2 linked regions of the Elephas maximus indicus genome follow. The protein of the gene in region 1 interacts with the protein of each later gene in a biochemical or structural test. Links are inferred from orthologs where the notes say so. Each region holds a gene or a part of one and is shown on either strand. Other genes may lie near its edges. The genes, in order: TOR1AIP2 and TOR1A.

Evidence for each region.
Region 2: the proteins of TOR1AIP2 (region 1) and TOR1A form a complex in vitro, tested with the Homo sapiens proteins (4 studies listed by BioGRID and IntAct, with this or other methods). The link is inferred for Elephas maximus indicus from reciprocal best matches to the Homo sapiens genes TOR1AIP2 and TOR1A.

Annotation. Positions count from the first base shown.
Region 1 is NC_064842.1:42,817,415-42,821,337, reverse strand, and holds the start of TOR1AIP2 (torsin-1A-interacting protein 2), read left to right. Parts: upstream 1-1,064; 5' UTR 1,065-1,213; intron 1,214-2,625; exon of another isoform or gene 2,626-2,686; intron 2,687-3,923. UniProt on the Homo sapiens protein: Required for endoplasmic reticulum integrity. Regulates the distribution of TOR1A between the endoplasmic reticulum and the nuclear envelope as well as induces TOR1A, TOR1B and TOR3A ATPase activity.
Region 2 is NC_064827.1:80,756,382-80,760,304, reverse strand, and holds the start of TOR1A (torsin-1A), read left to right. Parts: upstream 1-1,233; 5' UTR 1,234-1,608; intron 1,609-1,858; exon of another isoform or gene 1,859-1,879; 5' UTR 1,880-3,923. UniProt on the Homo sapiens protein: Protein with chaperone functions important for the control of protein folding, processing, stability and localization as well as for the reduction of misfolded protein aggregates.

The sequences.
Region 1 (3,923 bases):
ATTTGCACTTCTGCTATGTACTGGCCAGTCCCTGCCTTTCTAGGTCCTGTGGATACAGCAGTAAACAAAATAGACCAAAAGACTAACAAAAATCCCTTTCTGACTTCTTGAAGTTTATATTCTAAGGGAGGAAACCAAAACAAAAAAAACAAACCCACTGCTGTCGAGTCGATTCCGACTCATAGTGACCCTATAGGACAGAGTAGAACTGCCCCCTAGAGTTTCCAAGAAGCGCCTGGTGGATTTGAACTGCCGACCTTTTGGTTACAGCCTTAGCACTTAACCACTACGCCACCAGGGTTTCCTCTAAGGGAGGAGTCAGACAAAAATCAAAAATAGTGTGTTGGTCATAAGTGTCATGGCAAAGGAGGCTATTTACTTGGAGAAGTGAGTAGATATCTTCTGTTTTGTCTTGCACTGATGTTCAGAAACTGGAAAACCTGAATTTTAGACTTAATTTACTTTGCCCCTAACCAATCATATGTTCTTGGGCAAATCACTTCCCTTCCTCCAGTTTTCACATTTATAAAATTAATAGGTCAAAATAATACCTCCTTTTTATTGATCATTCACTAATATCATTTAGCAGCTATCGCTCTCTACGTCATCTCATTTACTCACAGCAACCGTATTAGTCAGGTAGTATTGGCCCCACTTGATGCACGAGCAGACTGAGGCTTAGGTTAAGCAACTTGAAAAGACACACCTAGTAATGGCAGAGGCCGGATTCTAAGCCAAGTCTGACTGGTGCTTGTCGTTATCATTTGGTACCGCCTCTCACTGTCATGGTTCTGTGGGTTTTTCCAGCCTATGAATTTCAGATCCTTAAGGGGTCAGGGGCGTCAGACGTCTTGTAGAGATGCCTGGCTTCTGGTCAGGTACCAATCAGCATAAGAATCTTGGGATGTCTGCGGTTCTGTTGTGCGCATTTACCAAGTCTTTAGTTCCAGCGCCCCGCTGGCTGCTGGGGTTTAGGGTGTGGAGGGGAAGAGAGGGGGAAAGAGAAGGGAGGGGAGAGACCGGGAGACTACTAGTCCCAGCATGCCGTGGGCGCCTCCCGGCGGAGGTCGCCGTCACGTGAGCAGGGGACAGGGGACAGGAACGGTATTTAGCGGCTGCGGCCGTGGGGTGTAGCCCAGTGTTGTGGAGCAGGAAGAACACTCGAAGGCTCCCCGCACATTTGACAGTCGACGGTTTAAAACACCTGGAATTTGTAAGTAAACAAAATGCATATTCAACTTTTCTATGTTTTAATATTTGAACGGATACCTTCTCCTTTCAAACGCTCTTTGAGAAACGATCCCTCCCCACCCCCACCACCCTACCGCAAAAACATTAAACGGGGTAGGATGGGGGTATATTTTTGTTTTATAGTAAAAAAGGATAAACAGAATTTTAAAAGTACTAAATAGGATAAGGTGAGTGTATTTTTCTTTTTTTTGGAGAGTAAAATGAGGAGCAGAATTCTTATAAGGTTCAAAGAGTAAATGGGAAATACGAATACTAGTGCAGGTAGTGAGTAATCTTTACCTCCTTGAAAAAAGTGACATGTACCTCACAAGATCCCATCGTTCATCTTAATCCTTTTAAAATAGTTAACTTTTTTTTGTTTTTAAAGCCTTTAAAGAAAAAAACCAAAAGAAGCAAACTGGTTGACATTGAGTTGATTCTAACTCATGGCAACCCTGTATGTGTAGAGTTGTACTCCATATGGCTTTCAAGGTTATGACCTTTCAGAAGTAGATAACAGGCCTGTCTTCTGAGGCCTCTGGGTGGGTTCAAACCGCTATGCTTTCTATTAGTAGTTGACGGCTTACCTCTTTTTACCATCCAGGGACTCCTTTTAAAGCCTTAATGGTGCTAAGAAGCACAAAGTTTGAAGTTTTTGGAAGACCCTACAACTGACTTTTTCCTTAAAACCAAAAAACCAAATGCATTGCCGGCGAGCCCATTCTGACCAATAGCCACCCTATAGGACAGAGTAGAACTGCCCCATAGGGTTTCCAAGAAGCAGCTGGTAGTTTTGAACTGTCGACCTGTAGCTCTTCACCGCTGCTCCACCAGGGCTCATTTACTTACGTACTACATATTTAAAAAAAAAAAAATTGTTATGGAATCAATTCTGACTCAATAGCGATCCAGTGGGTTAGACTAGAACTGCCACATAGCGTTTCCAAGGCTGTAATCTTTACTGGAGCAGACTGCCACGCCTTTCTCCCTCGGATCCACTCCCGGATTCCAACCGCTGACCTTTCGGTTAGCAGCGGAGCACTTAACTACTGTGCCACCAGGGCTCCCATTTTTTATATATGAACCCTACTTTCTATTGTATTTCATACCCAATGAAAAAGTTTACACCTTTTTCTTCTTTCAACCAAGCCTGTAGTCCTCCATACTTTGGCACTATCTACTTTGTCAGCAGTACTTGTTAGACTTTATACTGTTACACTCACATGGATATGAGTTCACTCTGATTGAACATACTGGCTTTGTTTCACTTTTATCTATCCTTAGGTTTAAGAGCAGTTATTTTGGGTCTATATGAGAGATGTTTTCCTTGTCTGTTTTTTAAGAATTAGAAACATGGCAATTATCCATATTTATCTGTTTTATTTTATTTTATAGCACGTGATTAGTATATAAACGGCCAGTGGAAAATCAATTTAATAGAAAAAGGAACTTCATGGTAAGCCACAAAACCAAACCAGTTGCTATAGAGCCCACCCTGACCCACGGCGACCCCAAGTATGGCAGAGTAGAACTTTGCTCCATAGGGTTTTCAAGGTTGTGACCTTTTGGAAGCACGTTGCCAGGCCTGTCTCCCATGGCACCTCTGGGTGCGGGTCGAACTGCCAACTTTTTGGTTAGTAGGTGAGGATTTATGGTCACGTGTTTAACTGTTTATGCCATCCTGGGACTCCAGTATATAAATGGCCAGTGGAAAATCATTAAATAGGAAAAGGAATTTCATGGTAGAGGAACTAAAAATGTCCTTGGAAGCCTTTGTGTGGATCAGAAGAGTTTGAAAAACTGATATTCGCTGTGAAAAAGTGACAGCCCTCAGGAATGTTTATTATGTTGAGTATAGACTCCACAACTTGATTACCGGTTTTGCTGCTGGTTTATCACATAACCTTGGGTGACTCATTTAAGCTCTATTTTTCCTAGTTTCCTATCTAATGTAGAGGTGACAGTATTAGCCTAAAGAGCTTCTATAATTCACAAATAAACCGACTTCAGAATTTAGCTAATTGTTTGAGAATTATTGGATATTTTAATAATTTATTTTGTCTCATATATAATTTATTTTGCCTAAAAAATCATTTCAAATTATATTCTACAAAAATGTATGTTTCTGTAAAGTGCCACCTGAGTTTGCTGAAGGAAGGTTTGCTCAGAATAGCTACACTAAACAAACCTCTTTTAAAGGGAAGGATTCCAAATGTAAAAGCACATAAAGGGATTCTACAAGCTCCAAAAAAAATAACAACTAAAAATGGCCTCTTTTTGTTTTTGAACTTAAGATTTTAGTTGTATTAAAATCTTATTAATATTTCTGTACCTTTCAAACTACTCATTAAACTGCTTGCTACAAGAGAGAATTCAATACGGTGATTATATTTTATCATAAACTTTAAACAGAAAATCAAGCATTTGGGAATAAGGAAGGATGTCCCCAGCGTTGGTTATGAGCATAAACTTTGGAGTCAGGGTTGGGTTTGAATTCCTGTTGTGTCAGTGTGACTTCAAGCTCATTTCTTCACTTACAAAGTGAAGATTCATAGGGTAATTTGGAATATTAAATGGGATAGTTTAAGGACTCAGTAAACGGAAATAGTTATTGCTCTTTGGGCTACTTTTCTCTTCATTACTATAAAAGGAGTTGGCACATGATTTTGGTGGTTGAAACAGAAAGGAAGAGA
Region 2 (3,923 bases), on another chromosome or scaffold:
CTTTCAAATCTCTGGAATGGGGTTCAGAACTCATCCTTCATTGCAGCCTGTCTTGAGTGGATCCAGCTGGCAGCAGAAATCTCTAGTATGGGACCAAAGGGACAGTCATATTTTCTGACTTTTACAAAGTTACCTGCTTGTTTTCATTAAAAAAAATTCATTTCTATCACTTTTAGCACTTAATTATTAAATATGAAATGAATCCAACTTTGTTGTTTGTAATATGTTTCTTTAACCAACATTAGGTAATTTTTCAAAGGCCAGGTATTGGGTAGCTCAAATGCAAAACTGAATTACTGAGATAGATTTTCTCATTTAGTTCAAAAGACATGGACATGCTCCACCAATCCAGTGTCCTTTCACTGTCACAAGTACATGGCCACTTGTGCTGTTATTTTTCCTGAGCACTTGCACAGGTTGGGATGAGGAAGGAACAGGTCAGTTGACTTAGGGGCTGATTTAGAGTGGGTGTTGCCTTTAGAGAGGTTTGGCTCTGGAGTCGGTCAGATCTGAGCCCTGTCTTAGCTTACTAATTGTGTCTTTGGACAAACACCTTTCCCGCTGAGGCTCAATTTTGTCGTCTGTAAAATGAAGATTATTTTGTTTTCTCCACTAGAATGCAAGGTCAATGAGGGCAGGAACCCATGTATGCCTCGTTTTTCCTTTGCCTCCTCAGGACCTAGCCCATTGCCTGGTATGCAGGTGGTCCTCAGAAATATGAAAGAATGCATGAGTGAATAATCCTTACCTCCAGCATTGTGAGGATTAGAGATATGTAAAGTGTTTGACTTATAATAGGTGTTCAATACCATTTGTTATTTTTGATGTGCAGTACAGTGAATTACTGAATATGGTCCTTCTAGCCACAGTCTTCGTGATTCCCATACAGTGATTGGGTGGGACTATGCAGATAAGGTGCCTATGGCTCACAAAGGGGATTGGACAGCTTGCTGTTAAGCCAGATAAAATGTACGGAACCTGTGATGGTTAAGGTTGTGTGTCACCTTGGCTGGGCCATGATTTTCAGTGGTTTGGCAGTTATGTAATGATGTAATTTGGCAACCATGTAATGATGTAGCCATCCTCCATTTTTTGTGGTCTGATGTAATTATCCTCCATTTTGTGGTATGTCATAAATCCTAGTCTATGCCTATGGTTATGATCCTATTTGGGAGTGAGTTGACTGTTACGTTAATGAGGCAGGATTAGGGTGAGATGTATCTTGAGTCACCACCTTATGAGAGAGTGTGACTCAAGTCACCACCTTTATTGCCCTTATTCAAGTCATACCCTTGCACTGCCTTGCTCAAGTAAGTGAAGTTTCCTTGAGGGTATAGTCTCCATCCAATATATGAATGCTCTGGCAAAGTTCTCTCTTTTGCTCTGGATCCTGCATCCGGCTTGTCATCATCTGACCTCTGATTCTTGGAACTTGGACCAGCAGCCTATCTGACCTGATTGGCCAGCTTCCACAGCCTGTAAGCCAACGGCCTGTCATCTGACCTGCTGATTTGGGTTTGTCAGCCCCTGCAAACCATGTGAGTCAGGAGAAGCCTCCAGCCTGACACCAGACCCACGGATTTGGGAACTGCCAGCCTCCACAACCATGTGAGCCATTTCCTTGACAGTTCGTGAGTTCTGTGAGACATAGCAGCAAATTACAGAATTCAGAAATGGGAGGGAGAGTACTGAGGGGAGGGGAAATAGTTGATTTTAGAGATGATGGAGTGGTACAGCAGTTTGGAAAAGTTAGACATTTGGGACATCTTTAACCTCTGCCTCATAGGAACCAGCTTTGTGCTGATCCTTATAAAAGAAATTATTCATTCACGATGTCAAAAAGTTGAACCTTAAAAATATTTCAACAAATGTTTTTCAGGTCCCTATGATGGTGCAGGGGTAACCAAGATGAATACTGAGGACCTAGCATATTCCCTGGCACACAACAAATATTTACTGAATGGAATGGATGGGTGAGTAGGTGAATGACACTGCTTGCCAGAGTAAGTGTAGCCTTTTGCCTGTTCTAAAAGTGGCCACCAGATGGCGAGAGCCAGGTTTTTCACTGTTGAAATAAGAATTTACAGATAAGCAAAGACAGGAGGCTCCTATGATCCCTATGGTGATGGATTAGAGTTAGAAACATCAGTACAAACTCATGTTTAGCATAATATACAGATAGTTACGTGTAGAAGTATTTATAAGTATGTGTATGCACATGGGTTAAAGTACACACATATATTTCTTTGCTCTGTCAGCTGAGAGGGCCTAAAATTAATGATTCCCCGGTATCAGCTAGCACACCTACTACCCAGATCTTGGTTACTAATACCCAAACCTGTTGCTGTCGGGTCGATTCCAACTCATAGCGACCCTATAGGACAGAGTAGAACTGCCCTGTAGGGTTTCCAAGGAGCAGCTGGTAGATTGAAACTGCTGACCTTTTGGTTAGCAGTCATGTCTCTTAACCACTGTGCCACCAGGGCTGCTTTCTAACACCATTCTCCAGTAAATGGGACTAGAGTTCCTATAAGAAATTGCTGTTTCTAGGACTGGGGTAGGAAATATACAAGATGAGCCCATGGCATCTTGTAGTGCCAGAAGGTAAAGAAGTGCTAAAAACAAAACAAATGAACAACAATAACAAAAAACCACACACTACCAGATCAGTAGGGGTATGTCAAAGGGACACAGGAGTCAACTAAAAGAACTGCCAATGGCCAAAGCTGGAACAACTTGAGTAACAAATAGACTATAATCCAAAGTATAAATATCCATCAGTCCATATGATACAAATGATTGAACAAATAAATGGGGGGAATGAGACAAATATCCCATGCAGAGGAATTCCGAATAATTTATGTGGATTCTTCACCCACAAGGAGGAGAAGCATAACTCCCCACTCGTTAAGTGTGGGCCTGAGCATAGTAACTTTCTTCCCAAGAATACAGTATGGAAAGAGGGGGGTTAACTTTACCGCAGAGAAATCTGACAAACACTACCTCAGTGAGGTGATCAAGACCAACGTTAACAGTTGATACATCGTGTTAAGAGTATATACTCTTGATACGACACTTTACCTCTGTGATCTTCACCAAAACCCATAATCCCTGTCTAATGAGAAAAACATGAGACAAATCCCAACTGAGGGACATTCTACAAAATACCTAACCAGTACTCCTCAAAACTGTTGAGGTCTTCAAAAACAAGAAAAGTCTGAGACCCTGAGGGACTGAAATACTGGGGTGAGGGCTGCGGACCATGATCTCGGGGGACATCTAGCTCAACTGGTATAACAGTTTATAAAGAAAATGTTCTACATCTTACTTTGGTGAGTAGCATCTGGGGCTTTAAAAGCTTGTGAGCAGCCATCTAAGATGCTCCACTGGTCCCACCCTGTCCAGAGCAAATGAGGATGAAGAAGACCAAAGACAAGAGAAAGATTAGTCCAAAGGACTAAGGGACCACAACTACCACAGCCTCCAGCAGTCTGAGTCCAGCACAACTAGATGGTACCCAGCTACCACCATCAACTGCTCTGACAGGGATCACAATAGATGTTCCTGGACAGATCGGGGGGAAAAAATGCAGAACAAAATTCTAACTAAAAAAAAAGACCAGACTTATTGGTCTGACAGAGGCTGGAGAAACCCTGAGAGTATAGCCCCTGACACCCTTTTAACTCCATACGGAAGTCACCCCGAGGTTCACCCTTTAGTGAGATTAGATATGCCCATAAAACAAGCAATAAAATATGTAGCTCAACCACATACACGAGACTAAATGGGCACACCAGCCCAGGGGCAAGGAAAAGAAGGCAGGGGACAGGAAAGCTGGACAAATGTAAATTGGGAACCCAAGGTCAAGAAGTGGAGTGTGTTGACACAGGGTTGGCAACCAATGTCACAGAACAATATGTGTA